3 linked regions of the Lepisosteus oculatus genome follow. The protein of the gene in region 3 purifies or fractionates together with the protein of the main gene of each other region. This does not show direct contact. Links are inferred from orthologs where the notes say so. Each region holds a gene or a part of one and is shown on either strand. Other genes may lie near its edges.

Region 1 (10,471 bases), on a different chromosome or scaffold from region 3:
GTGACCCACTGATGGCACTGCTGCTGGTGGAACTTGGCTTACCGGTAAAAGGCTTGGAGGATGACAGCGGCTTCTCTGAGAGCTGGGAGTGAGCATTTGAATAGACGGATAATTTCTCTTTAGTGGGCAGGTATCCGTCACTGGAGCGGGAGGTTTTGGGGAAATCCTGCAATCCACAGCAAGGGGACGGCTCTTCCGCGTGGCAGTTGGGACACAAGATCATGTCGCACTTCTGACAAGAGGTGAGGCTGCTGGTGTATCCCACACCACAGCCCTGGCATTTCATACCCATGGAGGGCCCAGCAGGGCTCTTTGTCCCCCAGCCCTCCCTGCCGTCTCGACTCTGCTGCCTGGAAGATGGTGGGCGATAGCCGACCCGATCTGTGTAGAGGTCAACCCCGTCAAGGGAGGAGAGGTGGTAGGAGTAGGTCTGGCTAAGCTCAGGAAGGGGAGATTGAGCAGGAAAGAAATCTGCCACAGGACTGTAGTGTGGCCCCGCCACAGACAGCAGCGAGCTGTTGGGCCGGATGATTTCGTCCTGCAGGTCTTCCTCCGCGTCCACAAAGAGAGGCTCCTTCCGAAGGCTGAGCGAGGCCTTTAAGACCGGCTTACTGACCTGCTGCCAGTGACCCGCGCCGTCAGTCACGTCCACCGATTTCGAGGTCCGGTTGGCTCGTTTCAGGTAGGCGCGCTCCGCTTCGGGCTGCCGCACCGAGAGCCGGGACACCTCTCCCGCCAGGACCTCGCGCCTCCGCAGGGCCTCCGCGCAGCCCGCGGCGTCGTCGCGGCTCATCCGTCGCATTTCCACGGCTTCCACTTCCGACGTGCCCCCGCCCGCCAGCACGGCCACTTCTCTCAGAAGACGGCATTCTGCCCGGGCCAGAAACAGCTCGAAGGCCAGCTGGCGGAGGTGAGGCGCTCCTCCTGGGTGCTCACGAGCGTGAAAGTGCATCTCCTGATCTCGGGTGTAGCCTATGGAGCGCAGCAGGGAGCGCAGGTCCGAGTCGCACAGTGCTGACTGCAGGTAGTAGATGTAGGGGCCTGTGAAGGTCTATAATAAACACGGTGAGAGAAAGCGTTACATGACATGCCTATGGGTTCTTCTAGTTCTAGATTATACAGCTTCAACTTACTGTACTGCTTTGCTGACAGACTAACTGCTACTATTAACTAAAATATAATTTCTTCACAGATAGTTTTACTTTGCTAACCTGAATATGCATTCAATTTCGTTTTAGATAAGATACTGTTTGAAACCTACAATTCATGCATGCACATTTTGTAACCGCTTTAAACCATCTAAATGGTTTTAAACAATTTCAATTGCTCAAAACATCTAAAAATCTGGCTTTAAAGCTATAAAGCCTTGATCTTGATCTTAATTTTATTAAGCAAATTTGCTTCAGTGAAACTTTTTCTACTATGTATTTGATTTGTTCTACAATTCCATGATCTAACCACAGCTGTCCAACCTGATCTCATTAAGCTAGAATAAAAACAAGCAAGAGACTGACAGTTGCTAACTTTGGGGTTCAATGATGATTTGTAGGTTTCTAAATGGCTTCATCCAGAAATGAAGCCTGAACTATATAACAGAAAACTAGAAAAGCATCACTATCCGTTCACTCGCCATGCTGCTGGGCACCTTGTCTTCTGGCATCACGTACCTTAATGCTGCGGAACTCTTTTTTCCAGGGGTACAGCAGCAGGTTGGTACAGATGGTCTCCAGGGTGGCAAAAGCCGTCTCTAAGGCCTGCAGGCTGGAGCTCCTCAGGGTGCGTAGGGCGTTTTCCGCCACCTCATAGAACCGAACGAGCCGGAACCGCTGAGCTGGATCCACTTGGTAGACACTGAGTAGAGCCGTGGCAGCCGCATGGAGCCCAGTCTCAACCGCCACCTGCTGCCCATCGCCTCCTTCCTCCAGTCTGGACTCCAGGCACTGCACATACCTCTTGAACAGGTCCTCTCGCAGCTTGGGATCCATTTGGAGCAGCAGGCTGGGTCACTGCCTGACTCGCATAATCACCCCCTGCTTCAAAGACTCTCCAAGACAGCTGGGAGAAGGCCTGCTCAGACACGCTGCTGCGTCACAAGTTGCATGGTAGCCACATTTCTTCTGTTCAGCAGGAGATGCTGCACCTTGAATTTCCCATGGGGATCTTGGACTTGGAACGTCCCGGGCTGTTTCACTCATGAATAAGCAGTGAAACGGGAAGCGGAGTGCACGTTCACATTGTGTGAAGCAGGTTATCTGAATCCAGAAATCCAAGCTCCGGAGGCTATGCCAAGTAAACCCCGTCTTCAGTGCAAAGTATGGGAATAACAGGCCGCTGAGGGATGACCGACCAGGCTAACCATCCGCACGATTCCCCGGGCTGCAAGACAGAAGAAAAACATGCCTAAAGAAACTACTTAAAGAGATTTTTTTTATTAATGTAACAGCCAGTTAGGATTCAATCAACATGTCAGGTTCTGCCTGATCTCAAGCACATTTTACTCAGCTGCTATAAACTGCTTGACTATACATGAAAGTACTGATTTATTTACAAGCAAGCATTCCCTGCACACTGTTGAATACACACACTGGTAACGGCAAGGATGGACACATTTCGGCTAGTATTTTTGTTTATAGAATATCTTGAACACACATTTTTTCAAGGGTTCCACCGCAGCAATATTAAAAAAAAAAAACCCAACACCTGGGATTAATGCAGATCTGCAACATGTCCGCCTTTCACACTGAGAATTTGTTACTGGCAGAAACTCTGTAATGGAGGAGGCAAATCTAAATGGTTCCGCAGGTGTGAAAGTGTGTGTACACTGTGTAAATCAAGCCTAGATAAGAGCCCACGACAACACATTTTCTGGAAAGTACTGTAAATCTTAGAATAGGTCAGCGACATTACAGAGCAAGGAAAAATCTTACAAAGATTTTATAGAGGCACATTTTGTAAACGTTGGCAGATACAGAACAACAATTACAGGACAGGAAAAACATGGAACTTGTTTTTTTGTTGAAAGACTCATGGCTTTTTAAATCTGCTGTTTCCAGATTTTGTGGATTTAAAATACACCTCATAGAGGTGTTCCTGATGAGCACTGTTACTGAAAACATGAAGTGGTATAATAAAGTTAAAACTTTTAATCTTTTTCAGATAAAAAGTCCATTGGTACCATTGTATTAAAGCACAATGTATTTATAACCATCTCCTTAAGCATAAAGTGTTTTTCACTTTTCTAACTATAAACCCCCTGATGTCACCTTAAGTGCTAGAATAATTTACAAAAGCCATCACAATATTTTGAATCCCAAGGAACATATTGTCTTTAAAACATAAACACATAACCAATGTGCAAATATCTCCTGCTTCTTTTAAGACATGCACAACAAACCTCAAACTACAACTGATGTCAATGTTTCAGGATGCATCCCAGTACTATAGCGAGCAAGGCAGAAATCGTTTGAATGACTGCGAGCATCACATCAGCCACTACGGCTGTTTTTTGCTAACGTTTAGTGCTGTATCCTTGCACATAACAAAACGGGGCTTTGCGGGATGAATTTGAAAGGGCAATCCGAGAAACATCCACAAAAGGTCAGTAAGGGTTGTGTGATACCTACTGTGATGCTCCAGGTTTCACTCCAACTGGGCTGCCCACTGCCAGGGCTGGGTAAGCTAAGGACCCTTGTCCATAAAAAGACCGTTCACATTGAAATTCTTCAAAAAGGGGACCTCTGCTGTTTCGGACTCCCTGCACATTCTTAAGTCCAAAAAAAGCAAAGGATTGTGTGCAGGACCTGGAGGCTGGTCGCAATACGTGCATCGCCTCTCCACCACACAACGTGTAGGCGTCGGAGACGCCTTCTGTAAAGGCCACGGGCGGAAGAACTGAGCATTTCCCTCGTGTCAGACTTTACTAGGGCTGTATAAGGCTCCACACTAATCATGTCCTTTGCATGGGTGTTTGATTCCAAATATCTAGTTTCTACGCGTGAATTTTCAAAATTTACTTCAGCCTCGCTTATTGGTTGAAACAGTCCAAACCTTTACTAGAAAATTTGGGGTGTATGAAACTAGCCTATCGCCTTAACAATCAAGCAGATACGATTCTGCAATTGCAGGCTGTCGCTGTTTAACTGGATCGGTTTCAGGGAGCCGAGATAATTATCTGAGCCCATCAACCTGGCACATTTTATTAATATTTTTAGGCCGTTGAAAATCTCATCCAAGATGTGCGATACTGCGTGTGTGTGTGTGTGGAAATGTCTCCAATTCTGGCGAGCGTCAGTGGATGTGCATGCAATCCGTCCACGGAGCGAGTACACACCCCCAGCCCACTGAATCGCGGATATGACTTTCTCACTCGCCCAACGAGCGGAGCACAGTAACGCTAAAAAATGCAGAAAAATTCATAGCTAACAGATGTAAAACGAAACATCTTGGGGGAGAAAAACGTCACCTTTAGATAATTCCCGAACACGAAAAAAAAATCTGATTTATTTTATACATGTTTTTTTCTATTCAAGGAAGCCAATAAGACTGGTTCCGGTTTTCCACTACACGCACACCCTCTTCCTTACTGTCGTCTAGAATGATGACGCCTGACCCATCAAACATCATTTTTACACGGAGGCAAAGATCATTTCTTGACTTGTCAGTTACTCGGACTCGGCCCCCATCAACAGAGTGGTTACAGCCGCCTCAGTGAATCTACATACACAGATTATAAAACAACGCCTTGAAACCCTAATGCGTACAACCAGCAACCAGTCCCTGCGCCCGCATGGGCAGAACTGCGTTTTGGCAGTCACAAGTCAAACAGACGCACTGAGAAATGCTTCATTTTAAACCAGCCGAGCTGTTTTTAAAAGACGCCACCATACTCTCCCCACTCCTTACCTTCGCATTCTGCTGGAAATCCCCACCGTCTCTCTGCGCATGCGTTACGTAGCTTACGCCACTCCACGTGCGCGTGAACTCAAAACCAGGCGCCGGGTATGCGCGCTATACAGAACAACTTTCTAAATAAAATGTTTATATACACCCCGACAAGGGTCGCGGCAACCCGGGATCTATCACAGAAAAAGAGGTCTGCTTCCTCTGGTCCCCAACCCGGATCCCGAGATTAGAATATCCTTCATCCCTCAAAGCATAGTGTTTCATTATAAACATTACCTGGTATTGAGCATTTGCTTAAAAAGAGTGCCTAATCTTTAAATAACAGGTACTTTTGGCTGATCTATATGAATAATTGGATTGGGTCTTTCCAGGACCAGGGCTGAAGACCCCTGATTTAGAGACAGTAGTTAACCCAGCCAAGGAAACCCACAAAGACATTGAACATTCAAACTCCACAGAGACAGAAACCTACAGTAGGTCATAAATGTGTGATTCCCAATGGAAGGAAACCACACTTAGTTACTGTATCTCCACACCATGATGCCTCCCAAACATTTATCAATTAAGATAAAAACAGAACGTTAACATTTTAGGAAGCATTGAGCATGCATGTTCAAAGTGATATTAACTTTCAAAAGCCGTCAATGAGAGTTTCAGGGAAACTGTCTTATATATACAGTATCTAGATGTTGAGAATTTCCCTAGAACAGAAGTACTGGCTGACGGTTTTGAGTTTAAAAGGCCATCCATAAAAAAAATGAAAATTCTAAATAAGATCATGTGTTCTCCTTAAGATATACAGTAATTACTCCTGCAGTATCTCCTTGAAAACAACTATTTTCATGAAATGGCAAAATATGTATATGCCCAGAAATGAACCTTAATCGAGGTGTTAACCCTGGCCAGGTATGGTCAAGAGCTACAATTTCCGCTTTGTCTTCACTTCGCCCATGTCCTAGGCAGCCGCTATGTAGTTTGCTGTATTCGCCCCTCCTACAGCAGGTTCAGAGCTGACGCGATATTCGTGGCATCTTACACGGAAAAGACAGGAACAGGAGCGGCTGTGCGAGAAATGGCGATGTTTGGGGGCTTAGATACTGTTCTTAAGAAGAAAACCACGGAGGATGGCGAGAGAGATATGCCAGAATTCGTGTGCCCAGTGTGTCTAGAGATTTTTGACCGGCCTGTTACAACACAGTGTGGGCATACGTGAGTCTCAATACATGGTCGTTTTTTTAAAAATATTTGTTTATATGGGTGGAGATATATCCACAGCCCATTTTTTTCTGTTTTTAGTTTTAGTTCTGTCATTTGCTTTAGTCTCCTAACCGTGATAATAAAACAGTGCCTGCAAAGTAAATGTATATATACATCTAACATTAGTTTTCATGTTTTGAAACAGGATTCAAAGCTTTAACATGCTCAATTGTCATTTTATTTAGTATTTTCAGGCTGTATGTTAGAATGATGAACGCTTGTACTTTCACTTTTGTTTACATCTAAGGAGTGTGCTGCATTGTGGGATATGTATTTTTTGTAGCGCTGTCAATGGTTTAAATGTTAGGGTGTTGTATTTGCAGTCGGACTACAAATCACAGAAACCCCCGTTACTTTAGGGTAATTTATTTTTAGATTTCGTCCTAAAAGAAAGTGTTTAAGGTTTCTTTTCAGCTTCCAGACAGCTTCATTTTTGTGGCGCGATAAACGCATAAATCGAGTGGTAGTGATTACATACAAAAATGTTGTTAGAATTTTAACTTTTTAAATAAAAATCTTTGGTTTATACAAATGTTCTCAACTTTATAAGTCTCATTTGTTTTTTTTATAGACCATCGCGATTTAACAATTCTCATCGGGCGTTAAAGAGATGTTAGGGTTATTTTTTTAAATTTTACGATGTCTTTAATTTCTGTACATAATTATTTACTTCAAAGCTCGCTCTGTTAACAGTTCCAAACATTTTACACTCGACAGATAACCAGGAATTCGTAATACCTGTGGTGCATGTTTTTCTCACTAATTGCACCCATAAGTGCAGACTCCCAAGTTCCACGTTTTTTTTAGGAATGAAGAAGGCCTTAGTTACAGATATTTCGTAATAGTCAAGTACGAGTATGTAGCTACGGATTCATCTGTTACGAGAAAAAACAAGTGAGTTATAGCTACTGTATCTACAGAAAGCTGGGACATTACTATAGAAACCTTCAAGTATTTGTTGTAAAATTAACAAAAAGGAATATATGAGAGCGTAGGCTACTTGCCCTGTCCCTCACAAATTCAGAGGTCTACTTGTTAGTGCTTACGAATGAGAATAGTCGTTCTCATTATCTAAAAAAAAATGGGTCAAGAAATTAGGACTCTGAAACGGTTACTGTAATGCTATGGGGGGTGTTAACGACGATTCCTGGCTTGTTTTAAACGGAAAAATAACCGTTCATGATTACGTTTTAATTCAAAGAATGATAAGTTCTGAAATGTAACAGACTGCATTTCTTGTATAGGCCTACATTTTTTAATTTTTAGATGTTTCCTTTTGGGAATGAGGAGAAGAAAACTGACCTGACTTTATAATGCCTTCTAATGATATAAAAACCCCATAATCTCCTAGGGGATTAAATCGAAACACAAGGCAACATTGTACCACAGCCACTGCAATGGCTAATATCCACAATTCCCTCTGTTCTGGCACTCACTTGGTTGCTCATAGCGGATCTGGAATCTCTTTGCTAAGTACTCTTGAAAGCCAAATCCAGAACTTTTTTCCCCCCACTGTGACTCAATTAATGCTCAGCTGAGCTTTTTTTATAATAATGCAGGAAGTCATGTGATGAACCAAATATCAGACTAGACGAGCTGGTACCTACAATGCAAGCTTCATGATAAGGTGATTCATGACCATGGGGGAAAAAACACAGCCAACAACAGGGTATCCCCTAATTAATAATGTCATACATTTAAAAAAAAAGTCAGCTGTCTGAAAAAAATAGTTCTGCTCTGCTTTTATAATTGAGTAAAAGGATACATTTATGATTTTTAAACTCACTAGTTGCTTATCCTTTAGGCAAACTGGTATCAGATTGAAATAGAGAGAATGAAGAAGTGCTCTTATACATGCACTGTAAAATAAAAGTATTAGCTGAAGCTTCCAGGGGTAAATTATTGTATTATACCCTTTGCTATCTAAATCAAATTTAACAAGGATATACTGTGATATAGTTTTATTAGGAATTTGTGTCGGCAGAGAGTCGATAAGAGCAAAACTCGGGAATAGACCAGACTGATGTATCTACTTGTTTATGTGCGATTAAAAATGTTTTTTTACACTTGAAATCTGTAGCCCACCCTTTTTTGCATTGCTGATTTTGCCCTGCACATATTGTACTCTGCATATCCAGTTAATGGTATTGCACATTGTGATGTATGATTGTCTATACTATCTATATAAATCTATACTTGGACCGTAATCACTACTGCTCGACACCTGCACTTGTCTGTTCCTGAGCATTATGTTATTTTTGCCAATATACTGCATATGCTGAAGTTGTCATTTACTAGGTTTTTGTTTGCTTTAGTGTGTTATCTGTTTTGTTCGTCCACCTTTTGCCAGTGATTTTAAGCAACTGTGTGACACACTGGATAAGCCCCACCATAAAACCGAGGCTTAAGAAAGGGGTCTGCTTTTTTCCCAAAGGTTCTGCAGCAGCTGCTTGCAGGAATGCCTGCGCCCCCAGAAGCCTGTGTGTGCAGTTTGCCGGACTGCTCTCAGCAAGTGGTCCAATGCTGTAGAACTGGAAGCAATCATTCATAGTTCGCTGGGAGCCTGCAAAGGCTGTCACACAGAGGTGAGCATTGTACTATCCTCTGGTGTTGAGGGAGAGAGGTCATACTGATGAAGGGGTATCGGCAACACTTAGGAACAGTGTATGCTTGATAACATGAGCCATTTTGTATTGATGTGTTTGTTCTGCGCTAAGGGCTGTATTTCCATAAGTTGACTATGTGTACATTTTATCTTTGCATTCAGAAAGGGTGGTTAAAAGACAAATCAACCAGGCTTGGGCAGCGTGGTGGATCAGTGGTCAGTATTGCAGTTAGTATTGCGGTGCTGGGACGCAGGGATTTTATATTGTTCTCCTCATTGTCATAAGGTTTTCCTCTGGATGCTCTGCTTTCCTCCCTAAGTCATACTGGATTCTGGCAAATTGGCCCTGGTGTTATTATGTGTGCCCTGGGATAAACTGGTGTCCCATCCAGGGTGTATCCCGCCTTGCGCACTTTGCCTGTCGGGATAGGCTCTGGCTCCGCGGCGATCCTGAATTGGATAAAGCAGTTAGAAAAAGGATGGATGGATCAAGCAGACATTAAAAGAATGTGTTTTCACACTCGGTGTTTTTGCTGGAATAATTCCTGTGCAGCAGGACACTTAGTACTTATTAACACTCAAAATCAGTGCTTATTTCTTATTAAAGAACAGCTTGGGCCTTCTGGAACTGTGTGGGCATACAAGAACTGCACTTGTCTTTTGTTTAAAGAAATGAAAACTTCTGCCTGCGTAATTACTCTCAAGTCCTTTGCTTTGCCTGACAGGTGCGTCTGTCCCAGATGCGGAGCCACACAGCTGTCTGCCCCAAGTATCAGGAGTATATTGATGAGGGGGTGAGAACTGTTGTGAAGTCCCAGCCCTCTGTGGTCAGGTAAGAGGATGGGCTTTCCATCTACTTCCATCCACATTCTGCCCTGTACTTTCTGGATGCGGTCAGGATTCTTGCTGTGTGTTTACCTTCCTTGTTATCTTTGCTGATGATACTCCGCCCATCTCAGCTGTTTCTTTTCAAAAATAAGATGCCAGTAATCGGATCTTCTCAGGGTCTTTTAGGTTTAAAAGAAACAGGACTTTGTGCAACCTGCCGGTGCGGTGTCCCTGAGTGGAGTTCTGCAAGGATGAAATCTTTCTTTCCCTCCCAGCTCGGTTCCAAACCGTTACACTTTCACCTGTCCCTACTGCAACGTTCAGAACCTGGACCAGGACGGGCTGGTGGAGCACTGCACTTCCCAGCACTCCAGGGACTCCCGTCATGTGGTGAGTGGCACTTCCATGCTCCGAAAAAACTTGTGAATTCTCCCTCTTAACGTAGGCCGCGAAGCTTCTTTTTTGTCCGGAGTGTTGGAACTGGTGGATGTTTAATTTTTTTCTACCTGCCCGGTTTTAGATCATCATCTGTTTGTCGAGCCGTCGTGCTCGTGCAGTCCCCTGTACTACACAGAAAGACCACGGGCCTGTGGGCGCACTCATCCCGCTGTCAGAGTCACTCTCTGTTTGACTCTCTGCAAGCTCCACCAAGGGGAGAGGCAGTTCATCTCTCACGGGCAGCACTGCCTGACAGGTCCCCTGGGATGATGCTGTTGAGTAGCTAACAGTGAAAGACCTGGTTGTCTCAAGCTTGACCAATTGTATACTGACATTAGGGGAGTAACAGCTGGGTAACGATGCAGCCCAGGCATGAGGCACTTGGAGTCTAAGGATTAGTCAAGTTCAGCCACCCTTTAGGCCAATTTCAAGCCTCTTTTA
Region 2 (10,302 bases), on a different chromosome or scaffold from region 3:
AAGACACTATCCTACTATGAAGTATAAAAAACAACACCTCAACTATGAACGCCTTTCTTTCAGATTCACTTTCTATGGTTTTTATCGCCACATCTTTGCCTCGCCATTTAGCCTTGCAGACAACACCGAAAGCTCCTCTTCCAACAACCTGCAAAACAGCAAATCAGCAACTTGTTAAACAGTAGCAATATTAAGACAAACATCATAATTAGCATGACTGAAAGGCAATTTGCCTGTGACTGCGGGTTTTTGCATACTGTTCTGTTTCTAAAATGTCATTCCTTTATCCTCTTTTAGTTGAGCAACTGGAAAAAGATATCCATTGATGAAACAGAAGCTCTTACAGTTATAAGGCTTCTAAGACACCCCCTTCTCATAACTGCAGCAAAATGTACCAGGGGCATGAACACTGATGTTAGCTGCAAAAAAGGGCTGTAGTGAAAAGTAGAATCACATTGCTTTACAAAGGAATAGTTTTTTTTAGCTTCCTTTCCAAAGAAAAAAGCCATCCTGGTTTACAGAAGAACATTTTTTTCAAACTATGAATCAGCAGCGATTTCTTTCACATATGGCGTTGATTGCCTAAACCATTTTTTTAAATAAACTGTCTGAAATTTGATCAAAATGGGGGGAGGAAGTCATCCTGGTTAATGCAAGAGCACTGTTTTTTTAAGATCTGAATCACACTGTACACAGGACGACGGTTTTGCCAAATTGAGAAAATGGATTTAAAGCTTTTCAGTGGGAAAAATGTTTTATGCTGAAAACGCACTACAAGGTAAGCTCAGAAAAAGTGGGTGAGATGGACATCGTGTTTTACAAAGGGAAACAATTTCAAAACGTGATTCTGATTGTCCTTGGAATGCCAGCCTAAAGGAGGTAACAAAGAGATATGAAGAAGTACCATTTACACAACTTGTGTTTCGCAAACCTGAAGCAGTCAATCACTTAACTAGTGCTGAAGATGATAACCGAAAAATAATTTTGTCACCATCTTGGCTGACAAAAGAGCATACTATCTCACAACTGAAATGTCGATGTTACCTTCCATATGTAATCAGCTACACATGTTGTAATTCAATCAGGAACAGTAAGAAATTTGGAATGGAAAAAAGAAAAGCTTGCAATCACTATAGGCTTCCAGGTAGTTTAATACCATGAAGGTTACTCTTTTTAACTTATTATAAAGCACACTAAGCAGATGCTGTACAGTCTGAAGTCCAAAACTCAGCACTTCTGTCCCTAACACAAGGCTGGCGAGGAATGCTGAATACCACAATCCAATTTCTAAAGACTGAAGTTTAAAGCTGATATCATAGCTCAGGCAAACTATGATACTAATTCAGGTGGGTATTTCAATCCAAATACAACTAATTTAAGATTTAACACTCGAACAGAACATAGTTATTGGCTAAATTCAGCATCTGACCTGAGGTCTTCTGTCTCTTTTTGCATGTGCCCGTTACAGCTTTCTGCTGAATAAAGCAGTGCCCATTTCAGACGGTGAAAATGGATACCCAAAGCTAAAAAGTCCATCTTGTGGAAAAGAGATACTGTTCCTCTAAAATGAAACATCATCTGAAGGGAAGGCTAAGCGTGCACCCAAAAGACAATACTGCACATGTACTGTAACTGACAGAATTACAGACTTCCTAAACCAACATATCGCCCGTAGTTGATCTCTGCAGTAAGAACCTTAAGCCTCAAAAATGATATTGCTAATTGCTTAAAAATCAGCAAAACCTCAAACACATCAGTCCCTATATCCAAAGCACTTAGGTGCAGAAATCCCTATTGCGTCATAAGGGGATCTAAGTGCCCATGTGTTTGGAATACAACTCAGTCAACACCAGTCTAAAATGTGAAAGTCTGAATTTCTTTTGGTGGATAACAGGGATGCCAATTATATAAAAAAGCACTACAATAATGCATTTTAAAATACAGCAATATTAAAATGTGTTAAGATCGCCTTGCAAAGAAAATTGAGGGACCTGTAAGGAACAATTAAAAGTAATGAACATGAGAAATAATTCTCTAACTTTTCACTTAAGCATACTCTTAAAATGAGAAAACTAACCCATTTCAAGACATCAGACAAGAAAAAGGTAACTTTATTCTAGATACAGGTTTGGGCAAGGACAACTACATTACTTTTGGAAACGTTTCTGATGACGTCTGAAAGTCCAGCAGAGTATATGTGAAATGGTATAGTTAGTCACTTGCACCTTGCTGGTGTCCCCACGGTTAGTCCAACTCAGTCTGAAAACCACCTGCCAGGCCCTAACAAAAGCTGAATTTTACACATGAGCAGATGCTGACACATTGCATGTCTCCACCAACCTCTTCCACAGGTGCCGGACTAGGTTAAAGCCAGCAATATAAAAGAACAGCACACGAGCTTGCTCCCAAAACGCGGCTGGGAGGACTGAGCGACTGTTGCGACGTGGGTTTTGATCATAACTGTACCAAAACATTAGGTTATTAGTGGTGCTGATGCCAAGCCTTAAAATGCCAGTACAATGGATAACCGATAGCAAAAATAAAGACTCCTAAATTAAAATCCCACCTCGTCTACAGCATGACTCCACCACCATCAAACATTTCTCCTGTGCGAAGAAGAGAAATTCATCATAGAACAGAATAGTCAGTGCAGCCCAGTGAGTTCATTCCTATTGCAGAGGTACCGGCACTGGCAACCCTGGGACTTCTGGTGGCCATAATTGGGTTCATGAATCGTCCGTGATGCTCTATTGCAAGATCACCTGTAGCTGCTGCTGCTATCCAGGAGTGACCCCTCAGGTGGGTGGACTGTTTTTTTTTTCCAAAAAAGCGTGTGTCCTATCGGTTTCTGGCCCTGCTGCTGTCCCGTAGGTACACACCTGTCAGCACAATTCCCATAGCATGTCTCCCTTCTCTTTCAGTGAGCAGCTGCAGCATTGCAGTGTGACTGAGTCAAACGAACCAGCGAGGCCTGTACACAATCACAAATTCGCAGGCGTACATTTCTTGGCATGTCCCACATTCTCACATGTCACTCTCGGGGAATGACAAGAAGTGCAGAACAGGCACACCAGAATTAACATTTTCTACAGTCACATCTCACCATTTGTAAAGTCATTATGAAGCTGCTGTCTTGGTTAACGGAGCACGGCTTAGTAAGGAGTGAGGGCACTCATTTCTAAAGTGTTTGAAGTATGATTTTGGAAAATTATCTGGCTGCATAATGCATAATAATCGAAGCAAATTTTGGCCCAGAGCGAAACCTTTTCTAAGTTCCTTGTTTTGCGAATGCATTGAGCAGGAGCAACTGAGTTTATTATTTTGTAAGCTGTTCTTTTGAGCAATGCGGGCATTCCGAAAACAGACTGTGGGTTTTAGTCTACTTAACAAATACGGTTACAATTCACCACTCTGTGGAATGCACTGTGGTTAAAATGCTAATGTTTCCACTCGATATCTATTAATAAATAGTGTGTAAGTTGTTTCCCTTTCAACCACAGTAAACTACGTTGTCAGTACTCAATACATATTTAATGAAGGCCTTGTTGTAAACCACTGTTGTAGAATTCACTCGCATAAAGGGGATTTTCTCTTCTTCACACAAGATGTGCAACACAAAATACAATGCTAAAAAGTGAAAACAGGTCTTGCAGCTCTTAAATCAATCGCGATAACCGAAATATGCGGAGGAGAGCAGAGGAAAAATAACTTATATGCATTTATTCTGTGGTACACAGCAGATGTAACATTCAGCCGATTATTTCCACACAAAAAAAACGTCGTAGCCTTTTCACAATCCCAAAAATATTAATTTAATAAATCGCGGAGCTGCAGTTTTGCGGGGAGTAAATTTAACTTCTTAGCCAAAACAAGCCTAGACGAATCAATCAGCCCCCCTAGAAAAGATTGCATCTAACCGTGGGAAGTGCAGACTTCAAATGATGTTTCAATAAGTGATTATACATTCCCTTGAATTCAGTCCTCTCTAAGTGGCCTAGATAAAAGACTTGCCCTTATTTAAAACCTTACCTCTTCGACTTCTATATCATTATAATCAATTTCTTCGAAAGGGTATCCTGGTGGAGTTTCAATCATTTCTGCGGACGGTGCAGACATCGCTATTCGTCAAAGTTGAGGGGTTATCAAAAACATCCGGAAATGCGAAAAAGTTCACATAAGATTCATCGTAATAACGAGCAACAACAGAAACAACTGATCTGGTAGACCAATTATTACTTTGCAAACGTAAACAACAGTCTGGAAAAAAAAAGTCTGAAGACGTTGCTAATATAGCCTACTGACAGCAAGATGCTGTTAACCTAAAAAAAAAACAACAACACGTGGATAAATACCTCACGTTAAAAAAAAGTATGCATTTACAGCTACTAAAATCACTGTTACTGAACGATTAGTTATTAAGCGCCTAGGCCGCTGTCGGCCTGGCTACAGCCTAGGGATGAACTGACTACCCCTTGCCGCAGACTGAGCTTCCCACATCGGCGCTGTGCCTTGAGCGGAGGTGCGTGTCATTTACTCTGGCGAACTGCGGCTACAACCCGCGCGTACGAGCAGACCCGTTCCCAAAAAGGAAGAAGTATCTCGGACCCATTTGATCCGGCGATATAAGTTTAAAGCCGAGTTTCCATTGACTACAGTATTTTTTTTTTTCCGCAGTTGCTGCGGCAGCTCCAGGAAGTGGGTGTTGCTCGGAAAGGCGCCCCTCCGGCTCCGCTGCGTTCGTGCTCCCGCCCGTAGAGGCGCTACTGACAGCGACAGCCGGCCCGCCGAGGCGGCGCTTGAGCTGTGAAGGAGGGGGGGGCGGACAGGGGTATCTGCAATTGCCCGAAAAAATACCCCGTTACAGACCACATTATGATCTTAGTTACAGATGTAGTTTTTACGATTGCATTGGGTTCGTCTGAAACGCGTATACGTTTTAACACCGGGGTTAACATTTTGAAATTACATGGTTTTTTTTTGGGGTGCAAAATAATTAACGGGCCCCGTTAGTTTCCTGCATTGGTTAAGAAATGTTCATATTAAATGCATATTTAAAAATCCATACAGTAGATGGACACATTCAAATGCATGGAAGTCTGATAAGCACAGGGGTGGAAGGTGGTGAGTCTCACACAGTGTCACAGCCCCGGGGCTTGAAGGCAGACTAGGGAGCCTGATGTGAGTTTTCATGATCTGCTTGTAGGGTCTTTACCAGTTCCCAGTCATCTTTCGGAGACACCTGTGATTTCCTTAGGGGCGACACGCATAAATCATCTTTCAACCAAGTTGTTGAGTAAAGGTTGAAGTTGAGTCCTTTATTCGTCTGCATAGAGGTTTGTAGCAGTGTAGTATATTCTACTGAATACAATAACATAAATGGGATCTTGCTTCTTTTAAGAGACTCCTTTACACTCCTTATTTAAATTAAGGATAATTGACAGCCAGTTGAATTACTCTTAAAAATACAATTGTTTAAAATTCATTTTGTTGGTGTAGTCAAGGGGCCCATCTGGAGTACAGTATCTTGTTTTTGTGCAGGAGAGGAGAGGAGAGGAGGAAACCAATATTAAGGAGACTGCATGAAAATAAATTAAAATGAGGAGTTAAACTGGATTTGCAAAGTCTACTGTGCTGCTGAGTACAGAAATACAAGAGAAGTGTGTTGTTTGTGCTGCGGATAGATAGTATCGGACCTCAACTGCTGGACAGTTGTAGCTTGTAGTCACTAAGACCCTGTTTCACTCAAAACAGGTTCTTTATATCTGTGGAACCACAGATCAGACCAGACAGTTAATCTACATCATTATAGTTTTGTTCCTCTGTCAAGTACAGTCTAACATTAATTGTAAAAGAAAACATGGAAAAGTAACCAGAAGCGACACACATGAGCACACGGAGCAGCACAAGAGCCCCATGGACTACAGTTTCCCAAAACCAATGTCCCACAGGACAAGTCCAGCAGCGCAATTCTCCGAAAATAGCTCCAGCTGGCCCCCGGCGTCTGGCTCTTTCTGCCACAGCAGACCAAACAGACGAAACTCGCGTCTGGTCCTTCAGTGGCCTAAACTGCACGAACTACACTTGATCTTAGCCAAAAGGCAGAGAAACGTTGATGGTCTAAATGACCTGCAGTAAGTGCTCTCTCCAGCTTTGGCCTCCAGAGACATGTGGTCCATTATGCCTTTCCCCAGCCTTGTTTCCTAGTGTTGTGTGAGTACAAGTCAAGTACAGGTGAGGGTGGAAGGAAGATGATGCCTGAGCCTTCCTCTGCTGCTCCGTGTAGAGTCCCCCTGTGATGTCTAAGTCCTCTCCTATAGTCCGCCCTCTGGTGAAACCCCGTGTTCCCCGAATTCTTCTCTTTCAGTTCTTCCTGAGTGGGGCTTGTGAAGCCTCTTCCTGCTCCAGAGATCAGGACTCGAAAGCTGAGGGGTGGGTGTGTCCTGGTGATGCCTAAGGTGTGGGCAGAGCTAACGGCTGGAGGCCCAGTCAACAGACTGGCAGCAGTGTCCATTGGTCTCCTGTTCCAGAGGCCCCCCCTGGTGTCAGACCTAGATTTCCCGGCTAGCAATCCCACAAGTCACCTCTGAACCGTGTGATTATTGACGTGTGTCTCTGCAAACTGTGTGTAGTTCAGTCTTTGTGGATTCCCCACCGTCCTACCCTGTGCCTTAGGAAGACCTTAGATTGAGGGGAAGCTTGAAGAGGAAAGACAAACGGATCCCGTGATAAAGACCCTGGCCACCATGTGCAAACTTACTGTCTGTATAGGCCCCAGGCTCCTGCCCCACTCTCAACTTTTGTCGCTCAGTTTTTTGTGACATTTGCCGTAGTTTGCTCTTTAGTTGGCACCTTCTTTGGTTTTCATTCCCTGCACAGTGTTATTTTTTTAAATGAGTAAAATTGTGATTTTTTTGTTTCATATTGGGATGCACTTTCTGAAGCAGAGGTTGTAGCGAGTATTGCAAGAATGTGAACTACAGTACTTTTGATGCCGTTGAAATAGTGAAGTTTATTATTTTAATATATCCTGAATGCTGCCTTTTAAATTATGGTGCTCAATTATACAATTTTAATAACATTTTTTGTCTTTTCTCTTCCCATTAAGATTTACAACCAGAACAAAAAAAACTGCAAGTATGAGCATTTAACATAACAGCCCTGAGTTAATACAATTTGATTATGAAATATACTATCATCTGTATATATTTCTTCAGTACACCACTTCAGAACTCTTGATTTACACATTGTTGACAAATATCTTACTGTTCTCCTGTCATTACTAATGTGACTGCTACATTGCATAGTTAAAAGGATTAGCGAAACCTTCCTGCTAACAAGAAATCTTATTACAGAAGGAATATACGTCAGACGTCTAGGAGTAAATGTAAGTAAACTATTAAAATAAAACACCATGAATACATTCATGTATTTTCTAAAACAAAACATTGATATAACAAAATTTCCACAATAGAGACATATGATATTGCAGCGTCCACCCCCAGCGCTGGACTGCTAAGGTCTGCTGTCTGTCCTCTCCCCTTGCTGCCTTGCACACACATTCACTTCCTCCTTTTCTTTCTCTTCCTCTTGAACTCCTAACTGCCTCCATCTTCAGATTTTAATTTCAAGAATGTAATTGTCATGGCCGATGAATTACAGAGTTGCCAAGACAGAAACAATTAACAGGACATTTACAGACATCTGCGGGCACCACATAGACGTTAACTCTCTGTACCTCAAACTGAGACAACCTGAAAAACACAAGTCTAGGCTACAGGCTGGGAGTCATGACACCTAACTTGGATGCATCATCACGTCAGTGTGATATTCTGGGCACGAGCATCTGGTAGCTACGGAGCCTGTCCTTCCAGTGATTGATGGCACCCTAACTGCACACCCCAACATTGATCAGGCCCTGGGCCTTCACTTACTGCCCTTCCTGTAGGCTCATCCCGACATGACGCACATCTCAGCAGGACAAACGCAGGACAAAGCCGAGCATTAATGCTGCTCGTGTACAAAAGGCTCTCCTGCAAGATTAGAATGTCACAAGTTCTCGTCGCCGTCGATTCACTGCATGACTTGATCCCTATTGAACACTGGGGGTTGAACCGAGATGATGTGTGGCATGTAGGGCACAGAGACCAGTGAATGGGGAGGTACTGCACATGCTTGTCTAGTATCTGTGAAAGAAATGGGTTAGAACCCAACTTGACTGCATTTGAAAACCTGGCGCAAGGCATGTGAAGCAGAGGTACAGCATAGCTTTCAGCAGTGCTGCTAGCCTAGAAACTTTCACTCAAGATCCCAAGTTCATCATCCCTGTTGATGAAAAATCAATCAGCTGCAACCCGGTGCAGAGCATCACTGGTGTAGATCTTATACTGCTTCCAATGGTGACCAAATGACATCTATCTATGTCATGTCTGTTCAGTAACATGACAGCTGCTGCTACAACAAAGACTGGGTCTTTTTTCAGTTAACTTTGTGAATCTGTTGCAGGTCTTTTGATTCAATTCAAAATACTTTATTCATCCCCAGGGGCTTGACCAATTAAATGTCTTCCAGACTTTTTCATTCCTCAGAACATAGACTTACAATTACTGAGATAACGATGAATGAAACTCTGTGCTTTATTTTATAGATCTGTATTGATCTATATTTAATATTGATTAAAACTGCAAACAATTCTGTACATAGACTGCTAATGTACCCTTTAATTAGTTTTCTGATTCTTTGTGTTTATTTTTAAATCTTTTACCTGTAAAGTATTATTTTAAATGTGACCATTGTTTATCATTTTTGAGGTGACTTCTGATGTCTTTCACTGCATTTTTTTCCTCCTGCCTTTTAGGGAGATCAGTGCCCATTGCCCTACACAAAATTGCATTACACTTCAAAGATAATTAATTTCCTGAACTGACGTGAACCGTCTGGACCAGAATGATATGTGTCATCTGAACATTTAGAGACATGCATACATATAGAGGTGGAGCAGTATTACAAGTTTTATTGGAATTCGACAGGGACTTCATACGTCACAGACTAGAAATAGCTGACATTAACTTCTGCAACAAAATCACATCTGTTGTGAACAATGCTGACTCAGAGGTTAAACTAAGGTAAATTCTAAACCCTAACTCAATGTCTTGTTCCATCTGGCACAGGTGTGCCTTCTGGATGACAGCCATATGATCTCCTTTTAAAAGTATTTTGTAAAACATCGGTTTCTTCATTTTGATGTATCAGCCATTTGCTCGATTGGATTCTGGCTGTGAGGGTGCCAACATTTGTAATTCATTCTTATTCGTATTTAAAATCTCTTTAAGAAAGGGCACCTTTTAAATAGAACAGCAATCTATGAATTTTAATTTAGAAGAAAATGTGGCTATTATCTTCAGTTTGTCGTCCTACAGATTTAAGAGATTTAAGCTTCAGAAACGGGCAGAAGTGTAAGTCAAATTCACGAAGGTGTTACCGCGGTAATAACAAAATCTTGTGCAGAGGCGACTCTCTCATTAATGAAGTTATTTAGCACTTTAAGCAACAGTCAAAATGTTACTCAAGTGCATCTTGGTCAGTTATACACAATCAAGTTATCAAAATGATGCCTAAACAACATTTAATCATTTTCGACAATCTGTATACTTTCTTTTTCTAAAAACATACAGTATACACATTCATAGAATGGTATGTTTTTTTTTCAAGAGCAGTATATGTATTATTAATGTTTCATTAAACAGACATGTACTGGGCATGTGCTAGCACTCAGAAAGAAAGTAATAACATATACCTTTCAGGCCACTCTTCTTCTGAAATTCTACAAATTCATTTTTTTGTGTAATTTCATTTCACAGTGCTCTCTGAGCAGATATCTTATTCTGTAGATACGTATATTTACAGTATATTTCAGCTAGATTAGAAAGTTCTACATTTTAAGCACTGCAGTTTAACCAACACTTCTAGTACCCAAGCAATATATTATAAAAATGTATCTTATATAAATGGATAAAAAGGTAACTTCTACAGACAATATTGTTACAATATGAAAAATACTACATATTATTCTTTCAGAATCTTCAAAAGTTCAAAAAGGCCTTATGCTATATGAACCACATCTGTAGATTGCTGTATTCCTTGAGGACAGCCGTGCACAATATGTTATGCTAAAATATGGAGGATTTCAAACAACAGACACACATGGTTTGCTGAAACCTCAACGTCACTCAAGCAATCCTAATGAAATGTACTCGTTACTTTATATAAGTGTAAAGTACACTACCTACTGAATACATTTTGGAT
Region 3 (10,545 bases):
GTCGGAAGGAATCTCAGCCCTATGCACATTCAGGTTTCTTTTAACTCTGAGCCAGGACAAGCAGTATATGCAAGATCGTGAATATAAAGAATACCTGTCTGCTGAAACAATATCTTTCAAATCAAAATCATCAGTAAACTTTAAAGGGTTTTGACCATCTCTAAACTTTCATTCTCTCCATATAGCTCTAATGTCAACAGATTGCCTGAAGAAAAGTGACATTTTCTGCATGGGACCGGGATTGGGCAGTGAGTAAATCCCTTGTTGACATACAGTTAATCTTTGACTAGAAACAGGACACTTAATTCAAATTACTTCATGTTGTAAAACAAGCAATAAGCAAAATAAGAGTAATAAATCAGTAGACAATGTTAAGACTTGTTTGGTATTATCCAGCATACTTTTTATTCTCAGGGCATAGGTTATGACATGTCTCATTCCACTGTTAGCAGAGCAAGGTCCCTAACTGCTATCTGTTTTAAACACTACAGTCTGAATAATAAATTACAGGTAATGGGGATCACCTCCACCACCACCAATGTGCAGCCCCACCTGGATGATGTGACCCGTTATTGGCGGGGAGGAGAGCAGAGTAATGAAGCCAATTCATAGATGATTATTAGGAGGGCATGATTGGTAAGGGCCAATGGGAAATTTGGCCAGGACACCAGGATAATACCCCTACCGTTTTCAAGAGACGCCCTGGGATTTTTAATGACCACAGAGAGGCAGGACCTCAGTTTTACATCTCATCCGAAGGACGGTGCATTTTAACAGCATACTGTCCCCATCACTATATCGGGACATTAGGACCCACACAGACTGCAGGGTGAGCACCCCCTGCTGGCCTCTCTAACACCTCTTCCAGCAGCAACCTTAGTTTTTCCCAGGGGTCCCCCATCGAGGTGCTGGCCAGGCTCACACCTGCTTAGCTTCAGTGGGTTGCCAGTTGTGAGTTGCAGGGTGATATGGCTGCTGGCCACATGAATGCATGTATGCATTGCTCTGGAAGGTTCATCAGCTATCCTTTTTAAAAAAAATGCAGTGGAGCCTGATATGAGGTTAGTTTCTGAGCCCATAAACAATGAAACTGCAAAGTCTTAACAATGAAGATTCCTTTGGAATGTTTAGTTAAGACAATTGTGCCCAGCTGAAGAGAAAACCTTCAATAGCAACACCTAAAAAAAGACAAGGCACATCCAGGAAACAACAACCATTATGAATAAGTACAAACAGAACCTACGAACAAGATTACTATGTTAAGTAGGTTATTTTCACAGGTTAAAAAAAAAGTATATAAAACAACAATTAGAACTAACAATTACAGAATAGCTGGTTATTTTCAGAACAGTAATTTGGAAGTGTCAGCTGTATCAAACTTGACTCTGCTGCTGTAGCTTCAGCACCATGCAGGAGATCCAGGAAGAATCCTGGCTAAGCAATCCCAACCCTATCCAATAGCAGACGGCTAATTCCACAGAACAGCCTGGGGAATTTGTGTTGTTCTCGGACTTGCCTAGAGATGGGTAGTTTGCCATGTGTCCCCACATGCTGCACTGGGTGTTCGAAATGTCAGAAAAGCAGAACAGAGGCAGGTCCTCGCGGAAGCCAGCACTGGGCTTCTCCTGACTCCACAGGCCCGAACTCATGGCGGCGAGGAGGAAACGCGACTAGGCTTTGCGCATATTAACATCGGGGACGCCTGCTCTAACCGCCCGGGAGGTAACACTGAGAGGACTACTTCATGCCACTGGCATTACAGAGGTGTATAATAATCACATGCTCTGAAATAATGACCTCATCAGTTTAGAACTGTTTGGTATAATTTATGTTTTATTACTTAGAACAAAATTTCCCATTTTAGGGGCAAAAACACACTGATGTGCGACACCCATACAGCAGTGACAGTACAGCAGAAATGGAAAGACTGGGTGGATACTTTGTGTTGTTTAAACCCACTTAACACAACAGCACAGAGGGGCAATCTTCTTTGCACTTCAGAGAACACCTGTTGCTATATGTTGTAACCTAAAGATTCTCCATCAGAAAGCAACAATTTTTCAGAATTTTCATAGGTCTTGGTTCTCTAAGAAGAACACCAAATTCAAAAATGAAGATCTAAAGTACTGCCTGTGTGATCAGCTGATCGGACAATGGATTTCCCCCATGGCCTCAGAAACTCCGAGATGAAGCCACAGAAATGTTAAAAGGGCTAACAGGGAAATTCAGACTGAACCACACACTGCAGCTGTCCCACCCACACCACACAGCCCACACTGCAACCCATCATCAACCCACACTCTGCAGCATTATCCTACACAGCTCAAAAACTGCATTAATGATATTGGTGCACTGAGCATTACACTAAAACAAGTGAAATGGGACACCTCTGATCAGCACTTTGCTGCTGCAGAGAAAACTTACTTTTTTATTTCAACAAGTAAGTAGGTTCAGTGGTGTGTTTTGATTAGGAAAAACCTGGAGCTGGAAGAACACAAAAAAGTGAGTTTTAGTAGCTGTGAATCGAATTCTCCTCCGGTGCCATTTATTTCAAATGTAATTAATCACAGGCCTGAATTCCATCGCAGGATAATCTCAGCACACGGACTGTCAAGAGATCAGGGCCCAGCATCTCACCCACTATCAGGTACAATGTACAGCAGCATTAAACATGTTGCAGTGCAGTTGGCAGACTGTCTTTGAGCGGCTGTTCTTACTGTATGAGGGATATGCTTCTCTTGGTACTGTAATCTGCCAGCACGCTCTCCTGCATCAGTCTGGCACCCACGAGAAAACAAACAAGCGCTGCTCACAGTAGATGCTGACAATCATTCTCTTACAGTGCAAAGAATGGGCCTTTCACAACACAATAAAGATCTTTTTGTTTAACACCGCGTGCTAGCTGGTACATTGTCCTGAAAATCAAGCACTGCTCTGCTTTAGGCATTTGCCTACACACCTTACAATACTAGACCAATCCCTAGAAAACAATTGCAGGGTCCTTCTAACACTCTGCATGTCCTCAGCTCAGACAGCTAGAAGAAGTGCAGTTTGCAGATATAAATGACCTGTGATCATTCTCCACCTGACAGCAGGGAAGGGTGTCGTTCAGCATTCTTCATTAGCCAAGAGTCAAAGCACGTGCCAGCAGGCTGTGACAAAATACCAGCAATGGAGTTTCAGAAGGTCAAAATGTGACGAGCCGTGCCTGAGGCCTATGACATAGCTAGCTCCGATAGTCATGACAACAACCCCATGCTGTGTAAGTTATATAGTGACCATTATCCGATTCGTCCGGATGTCATAGGGTGGGGATGAAACAAGCGATTCCCCGTCGGAAAGAGGTCGGTTTCACTGATACTGTAAATTAGCAGTGACTGTCCTAGGCAAAGCGCGACACGTAGGGCTCGGACTTCATTAAGGAGCATTACTAGTTAACAGGCGGTACGAAATACAACAGTGACGTCATTTAAAGTAAGTCGACACGTTCCGACCCCATCCAGATAAATTCACCTCTCCCATCGCAACGCTGACCTCTGCGACATTACGTGTAACAAAGACATTCAGCTTCGGGCTTTATTCCCTCGGGAAAAACAGAGCCTTTCACAAATAACCGAGAGCCAAACCGGACTCGCCACATCAATGACAACTCGCCAGGGCATTTTTTTGACAAGCCGGCGCATCTCCGGTCGAAGTGACATCACCCCTCGCTGAGCCACTAAACGACACCAGAGAGAATGGTGTTTTTTCTTCTTTTTTTTTTTTAGAGGAAGTCCTGGATAGCCGCTGTATTGAGCCGATATTATTAGCTGTCCACTGGTTACTACATTATGTTTGCCGGGGAGTGTATCCGGGAAGAGTTGAGGGTTGGAATAGGTCCCAGAAACCAAAGCTACACGATGTGCTGAGATAGTGGTGCGGGTTGTAGACAGGATCAGCGGTCCGCTTTCACGCTTTGAAGCACTTCCAGCCTTACCTTAACTTCGCTGTCACCAGCTACCTGTTCTTCAGCCGGCACGGTTTTTTTTTTGACTGAACTGCTGTCACCAGGATCCAAAATATTGGTCGGGGTCCGCCGACAAATTATACCGGGCTCCTGTCTTCTCGCCACAGACGCGTCCAAACACGGTGATTCTAAGAGCTCACATTCTCTCAGGGTTTCGGAGCCAGGTAAGAACGTAGCAGGGGAATAAAATAAAAGCAATCTAAAAATAGAACCCCTTTTCAGCAAAATGTGAAGATTATTTACAAGAGGAACCTGGTCGACCAACCATGCTGTCAAGTCCCTTGAACGTTCATTGGCAGTTGAGCGCCGGCTCGAAGACCTCATTGGATGGAAGACCTGTGCTTTAGTTTAGGCCCACCCACCCGAGGCGGGGATTTCCGAAGCTTGGTTGACGCGCGAGGGGGCGGGGCGCACGTTGGGTCAGAGCGGCGAGCGTGCTGATCGCGACAGTGGGCGGAGCGCGGAAGCTGCTCTTTCTCATAAGTGAGAACAGGATTTTTTACTACCGTGTGCTGCCACGGGTCATGGAAAAGTTCAGTCAATGGTACTAGTTACTAATGCATTAGTCTTTTCTTTGGTAGTCTAGGATGTTGTTACAAAGCCCTAATCAGCATTACTAATACTATTACATTATATGCTGGTGTGGTTTAGTTTTCTGTCAGGCAGGTTGATGTGGCTTGACTGAAAAAGCATGGCACTGACTCCAGTCCACTGACAGCTAAAAACAGACTTAGCCTTAGTTCCTGACAGTTCGTCCAGCACCATATTGCATTTAAGTGTCAGTCAAATTTTGAAAACATTTAAAACCAAGAAGGGAAGGCACTGCTGTAGGGAAAGGGTTACAGGAGTAACAAAAAAAGGACCAAGTCAAAACCGAGAACCTGGGCTTCTTTTAAGAAACAGCCAGACTCGCTCCTCAGATTGATTCACCACTAACCCCCCAAGCAAGCTTGAGGAACAAAGTGGCCTCTTCTCAGTTGTACCTTTGCAACTGAAACATGAATTACTCACGTGCTGTCTGTACAAACGTACTCGTGCGTTGTATAAATGTTGTTACACATGCTAAGATATTAAAGATAGTTAAGAATGCAAGATTCTGCCCTGCGATGGGCCCCGTCTTGTACACTTTGCTGGCTGGGACAGGCTCCAGCTGCCCCGGGCCCCTGACTGGGAATGAGCAGTCAGAACAGGGATGGAGGGTGGAAGAGAATATAAATTCAGGACCCCGCGTTTTACCTTGACTGGCACAGCCGCGCTTCACCCTAAGTTTATTCATCAGAAAAACGGACACACCTGCTCAGAAATATAATTCTGCTACAGAATATAAAGAACAAGCAGCTTGATAAGGAGTAGCGATGCCATAGTCTCTCGTCATCAGACATGAGGATCTGTTCTCAGCTGCCTTGTCTGGTTAAATAAAGGAGTAGTAATTTTGTTTTAAAAATTCTGACGTTTAACATAGCCCAGTGATAGCCCGGATAGTCATTGTGAGCTGGGAAAGGAAATGTTAAGATCTCCCCTTCTACAGAGTGTCTGCGTGGTCTTGGGTGGTGAAGATGTGCACTGCAATTCAGCAGGATGAGGAGGAGTGTGAGGAAGGCTGCAGGAGGATATCCTGAGTGATCTGAGCATCACAACGTCAGCCGGCTCTCCTTGTGGGCGAGTTCTTCTATGTCCTCTGCTGTCAGGTCATTTCCTCTCAGCCTTCACGGAAAGAAGAAAGATGTGCAATGAGGGGTTTATTTGAGCTACCCCTAGCAACACCTATGAGAAGACACACTTGTGCAAAGATCCAAGTACAAATTCCTGGAGTGGAGTTTACCACTGCACAAATGACGACTATTAATTAGGGTCGGCCATGGATATAGTGTCTACTGGACATATTTGTTTGAAGTTGTGTGGTTTATGGTTTCATAAAGGATTTGGCTGGTTAAGACTGTTACACAGTCGTGAACAGTCCTAATGGTACAAATGTACCAGAGAGACGAATTAATTCATCTTTCCTCTCCCTGGCCTGCTCCCCAGTATCAAGACGATGACACAGAGGGCGCTGTCTTTCCGTCCTGGCTCGCTTCGTCACTGGCATCGTGCCCAGCGGTCGGAAAGCCGAGCGCAGGCTGTTTCCTGGCAACAAGCTGCGCCGCTCGGAACCGGGGGTGCGCTTCTCGGCTGATCTCCCCCCCGCTGCCCACGTCTGCTCCGCGGTGCCGGCCAGTGTCTCTCTCGCCGGCCGCCCCCTGCATCCGGCGGGCCGGGGAGGAAATCTTACCAGATCGCCTTGACGCTGGTGTTCTTCTCCAGCGCCGCCATCAGGCACAGCACCCCCTCTCGGGTGATGGAGTTATTGGTTAACCTCAGTGACAAAAGAGGAAAGAGCCGACATTGTGATTCTTACGCAAGAGCCTGAATGGAGCTTCGTTTGGGTTTGTTTTTAATGCTACATTTTCATTACTAGTAACACAGCACTATGCATGGCACAATAAAAGGACCTACATAATTTAAACCTGTGGTAAATTCTAAGTGTTAGTCCTTAAGTTAAAGTTTTCATGCATGTGAAATGCCATTTTGAGTACTGATCTGCTGGTACCCTTGACAAATGTCATAAAATAGTTTATATTGTCTTTATTTAGTTTTATAGGTCCGGACAACGGCTTAGGTATTGAATATCTTAAATACAAAATGTTATTAGCAAATAAGGTGTTGCTGGCAGTGTTTGAAGTTGCTTGGGTGAAGGTTCAGGAAACAATGTTCAGGGGAAAACTCAAGTGAAATTAACATACCACTAGACAGCAGAATGCAGAATTTGCGCAGAAATAAAATGCAACTTCTGTCCAAAGAACCAGAATGAATCGTTCCTGTAGCCAACAGCCTGTCCTCTGGCTGACTGCACCAGCCTCTCTCCTCATGCCTGCACTCGGGGTATCTTACAGTATCTCTCAGGCTGGTGAACAACAGGCTTTGTGCTGCTATCAGGTGGCATCCTCCTCATCTGCTGCTTAGAGCCTAAGAGACCACTCTAAACTGGTCGACTGTGCTACTAATTAACTTTTCCGCTAATTACTCGCGGTCTGAATATCGCCTCTAATACATCCAAGTCCTCTTCTGTAGATGTAAAGCCTGCAGATTTTTCAAATTACAATCTGAGGATTAATTACCAGAATTTCATAATGAGGTGGATGCACGACAGTGAGCAGTGGTGATCTTGAAATACAGAGCTCAGAACACAGTAACTCAATTTTAAATAGATGATGTCTGAAGCCAACTAAGCATGGGTATATCGTCTGGAACATACCATGGTATCCAGAGTTTGTACTACTTGTACTGGAATGGTACTGGTCCTTTTGGGACGAGATATGGTGGTTTTTGAAATGTACAGCTTTTCTTCACCCTGCAGTGATTTGGCCTACGCAGAGACCACTGGTGAACCAGAGCCTAGCTGAGCCAGTCTACAGAGAGAGGCACTCACCATAACTCCTCCAGAGTACTGCTATTCTTGATCACTGCAGTCAGCGCACGGGCTCCAGAACTGCTCACTCCATTGTCCACCAGACTGCAATCACAGCACAGCACGCGACACATCAGGATAGGTGCGGCACACATTTTTAACACCTTTCATTGACATTGCGCTGCAATCATCCTGATGTAACGGGCGGAGCGGTGGCTCTGTGGTTAAGGATCTGCGTCTGTAGCTGGAAGGCTGCCGGCTCGTATCCCGAGGAATCAACTCCGTTGGGCCCCTGAGCAAGACCCTTAACCCCCAACTGCTCCAGGGGCACTGTATAAATGGCTGACCCTGCGCTCTGACCCCAAGCTTCTCTCCCTGTCTGTGTGTCTCATGGAGAGCAAGCTGGGGTATGTGAAAAGCCGAATTCCTAATGCAAGAAATTGTATAGGGCTAATAAAGTGATGTTATGTTATGTTATAACCTAGATCTGTATCACAGTGGTTCTCTATCCATGTCCTGGAGCACATCCATGCTCAATCACCGGTGCCTGGAATTGATCTGCATGCTGCCTGACTTCTGTCTCCAGCCCTTTAATAGGCGATGGAACTGAAGACAAGGGAGAATGACACTGCATCAGTGCACTATAGCCACGCTGTCTCTTCTGTACCAAGCCACAGGCAAACACAGAGTTAAGTTTATACAGCTGCTTGAGAAACTACAAGGGGGAAATTCTGCCATTAAAGAAACAGGAAGGCTGTGACCGGGTTTCTCAAGCACGGCTGCACAGCTGGCTTCCGTTTACATGAGCACCGTTCTCTTGGCTCTTGCACCATTGTGAGACCGGCTCCTCCCATCAGCACCCCTCCTGTCAGACTGGCACCTGCAGGGCGTCACGATGATGCGTGGCCCAGAGCACGTCTGCAAACTCTCACTCTCCCCCCCGTGCAATCATGGGAGATCTACTGGCAGGTGGAAAGGTTGGTCTTAACCCATCAGGAAGTCCAAATGAGGTAGGTGCAAAAAAATAAAGCATTGTAGCCATGTGACTTTGTGCATGCCCAGTTGTCTTTACCTGAGCCACACCAAGCTGGGGCTTTTCTCCAAGGCCTCTGCCAGCGCCTCCGTCCCCTGGTCTCCGATTTTGTTCCCCCACAGTCTAGAAAGGGATGCAGGGACAGGCCTGTTAGACCACCAAGACATCACCCTCCTCTTGCTCCTGGCTGGCTGTGTGGGGATGCTCGTGGCAGTCAATATCACCAGCACGAGCCAAGACAAGCACTCAGCGATGGATTGGGAAACGTACTACAACCTTGATCTTTAATCATAGCCTGCGCAAGCAGCGGTGAATCCGGAAGCTCGCTGACGTGGCACGCCGACGAGCGACTCTCACCCCAGGTACTGCAGAGAGCGACTCTCCCTCAGCCCCTCTGCCAGCTGCTCTGCCCCTTGTGCAGTGATGTGATTGTTTCCCAGCCTGCAACAGAATAACAAGCCATCAGGAGCCAGCAGTGACGGAGCCAACTTCACTGAAATCAGTTCAATGGAAGAAAACGTGCAGAACAGTAAAAAAGCAGGCCGGTTTTCCCATCCGACATCCACCAGAATAGACATCCTACCACACAAGGACAAACAGGAAATGCCAGGTAATTCTTACCTTAAGGAAAGAAAATTTTTCTTCGTTCGGAGAAGTTTTGCAAAATGCTTTGTGCACTCATCTGTCAGGTTGTTATTAAACAGCCTACAGGAAAGGTACAAATGAATAACTCATTGTAAATACCTATTATTTCATTTCTGGGATTAAGCTTTAAACTTTAGCCTCAGAGGACTCATGTCAAGCATGACATTGAAAAGAGGCAGGTTGGAGGTAAATAATTACACCTACTGCGTTTCTGGTAGAGGTAAAAATTCTCAAGTTATCCACCCCCAGAGGTTAAATGGGGTTTGTACTGCAACCATAAATTGGAATTGGAGTCGATAATAGGCCATAGAAAAGACTAAAAGACTACCATTCTTTGAGACATCCTTTATCTAACCAACAACAACAACAACAAAAAAAAAGAAAATGCGCTTTCATGTGAATAGTTCTACACTAGATACATGTTGCCAAGTCACATACACAGAATGAACTCATTTGCACTACAAGGGGATTGTTTAATTAAAACAGTGAAAATGAACTAGTCACAAGTGTTCAATAACTGGAAACAGAATACAATATTTTGAAACAGCGGTATCACAACCTAAGATACAGCAACTACACAAAGATATTGGTCTCACTTGCTTATTACTTTGTGTTTCTTACCAATTCAAGACCAGGACTGTCAGTCTGGAGCGGAGTTGATAAAGCGCATTCTCACTGAAGTTTTAGTTTTGTCAGGTTTTACAGACTGTAACTCTCTGTCCTAACACATTTAAAAATTTAATGTGGTTAAATCCAAACAATTGTCTGTTCACAATATGAACTTGTCTTTCTTATTATCCTGTGTGGGTTGGTGTAATGCAGGACGATGTACTCACGCAATCTTCTGAAAATGCTCACATTCGATGCCCCTCTCAATCAGCTTGGAGATGCCTTCATCGGATACGTTATTGTGCCGGAGGCTGGGAGGAGGAGGAGGAGGTCAGAATGCAAAGGAGACATGTGCTTTATAAACTGTTCAAGATAAACCGGTTCTCTAAATTGCAGTGGATCATGTCTAGCTGCATTTTGATGGCACAGATAAAGAAAAGCAAGGCAAAACTATTTTCAGTGTAGGAATCCCATACACTGACATTCTTTAACATTGCAGACTTGTGTTTGCAACTTGAAATACTGTGGTATAAAATCGTGAGGCTTTCCTAGATCCTGAGGGCACTTGTCATGGTAAGGGAAATGCATGCACTTACTAAATGGAATGGCACTTGTCTAGGCAGGGCAGGAGCTGCTCGATTCCAACATCGCCTACTGAGTTGTAGTCCAGCTGCAGGCCGACGGGAGACCTCAAGTGACGCAGGACGAAGGACAGGGCGGTGCACTCCACGGGACCGATGCCACAGTACGTCAGCTTCAGGTGCTCTACCTCCACCTTTGCCATGGCCTCCTTCGCTATGCTGCTCT

Evidence for each region.
Region 1: the proteins of cyld (region 3) and spata2 purify together in Homo sapiens (affinity purification with western blotting; 10 studies listed by BioGRID and IntAct, with this or other methods). This does not show direct contact. The link is inferred for Lepisosteus oculatus from reciprocal best matches to the Homo sapiens genes CYLD and SPATA2.
Region 2: the proteins of cyld (region 3) and map3k7 purify together in Homo sapiens (affinity purification with western blotting; 4 studies listed by BioGRID, with this or other methods). This does not show direct contact. The link is inferred for Lepisosteus oculatus from reciprocal best matches to the Homo sapiens genes CYLD and MAP3K7.

What each region holds. Positions count from the first base shown.
Region 1 is NC_090711.1:6,396,508-6,406,978, forward strand, and holds the start of spata2 (spermatogenesis-associated protein 2), read right to left. Parts: upstream 4,989-10,471; 5' UTR 4,903-4,988; intron 4,893-4,902; exon of another isoform or gene 3,620-4,892; intron 2,377-3,619; 5' UTR 1,986-2,376; coding exon 1,668-1,985; intron 1,052-1,667; coding exon 1-1,051. Other genes in the region: E3 ubiquitin-protein ligase RNF114, read left to right, coding at 5,975-6,111, 8,594-8,744, 9,490-9,596, 9,868-9,982.
Region 2 is NC_090697.1:7,518,355-7,528,656, reverse strand, and holds the start of map3k7 (mitogen-activated protein kinase kinase kinase 7), read right to left. Parts: upstream 4,766-10,302; 5' UTR 4,531-4,765; coding exon 4,470-4,530; intron 4,119-4,469; coding exon 4,030-4,118; intron 149-4,029; coding exon 38-148; intron 1-37. UniProt on the Homo sapiens protein: Serine/threonine kinase which acts as an essential component of the MAP kinase signal transduction pathway. Plays an important role in the cascades of cellular responses evoked by changes in the environment.
Region 3 is NC_090715.1:2,178,529-2,189,073, reverse strand, and holds the start of cyld (ubiquitin carboxyl-terminal hydrolase CYLD), read right to left. Parts: upstream 4,068-10,545; 5' UTR 3,977-4,067; intron 1-3,976. Other genes in the region: nod2 (nucleotide-binding oligomerization domain-containing protein 2), read right to left, coding at 5,638-5,710, 6,276-6,359, 7,473-7,556, 8,524-8,607, 8,842-8,925, 9,106-9,189, 9,966-10,049, 10,335-10,545. UniProt on the Homo sapiens protein: Deubiquitinase that specifically cleaves 'Lys-63'- and linear 'Met-1'-linked polyubiquitin chains and is involved in NF-kappa-B activation and TNF-alpha-induced necroptosis.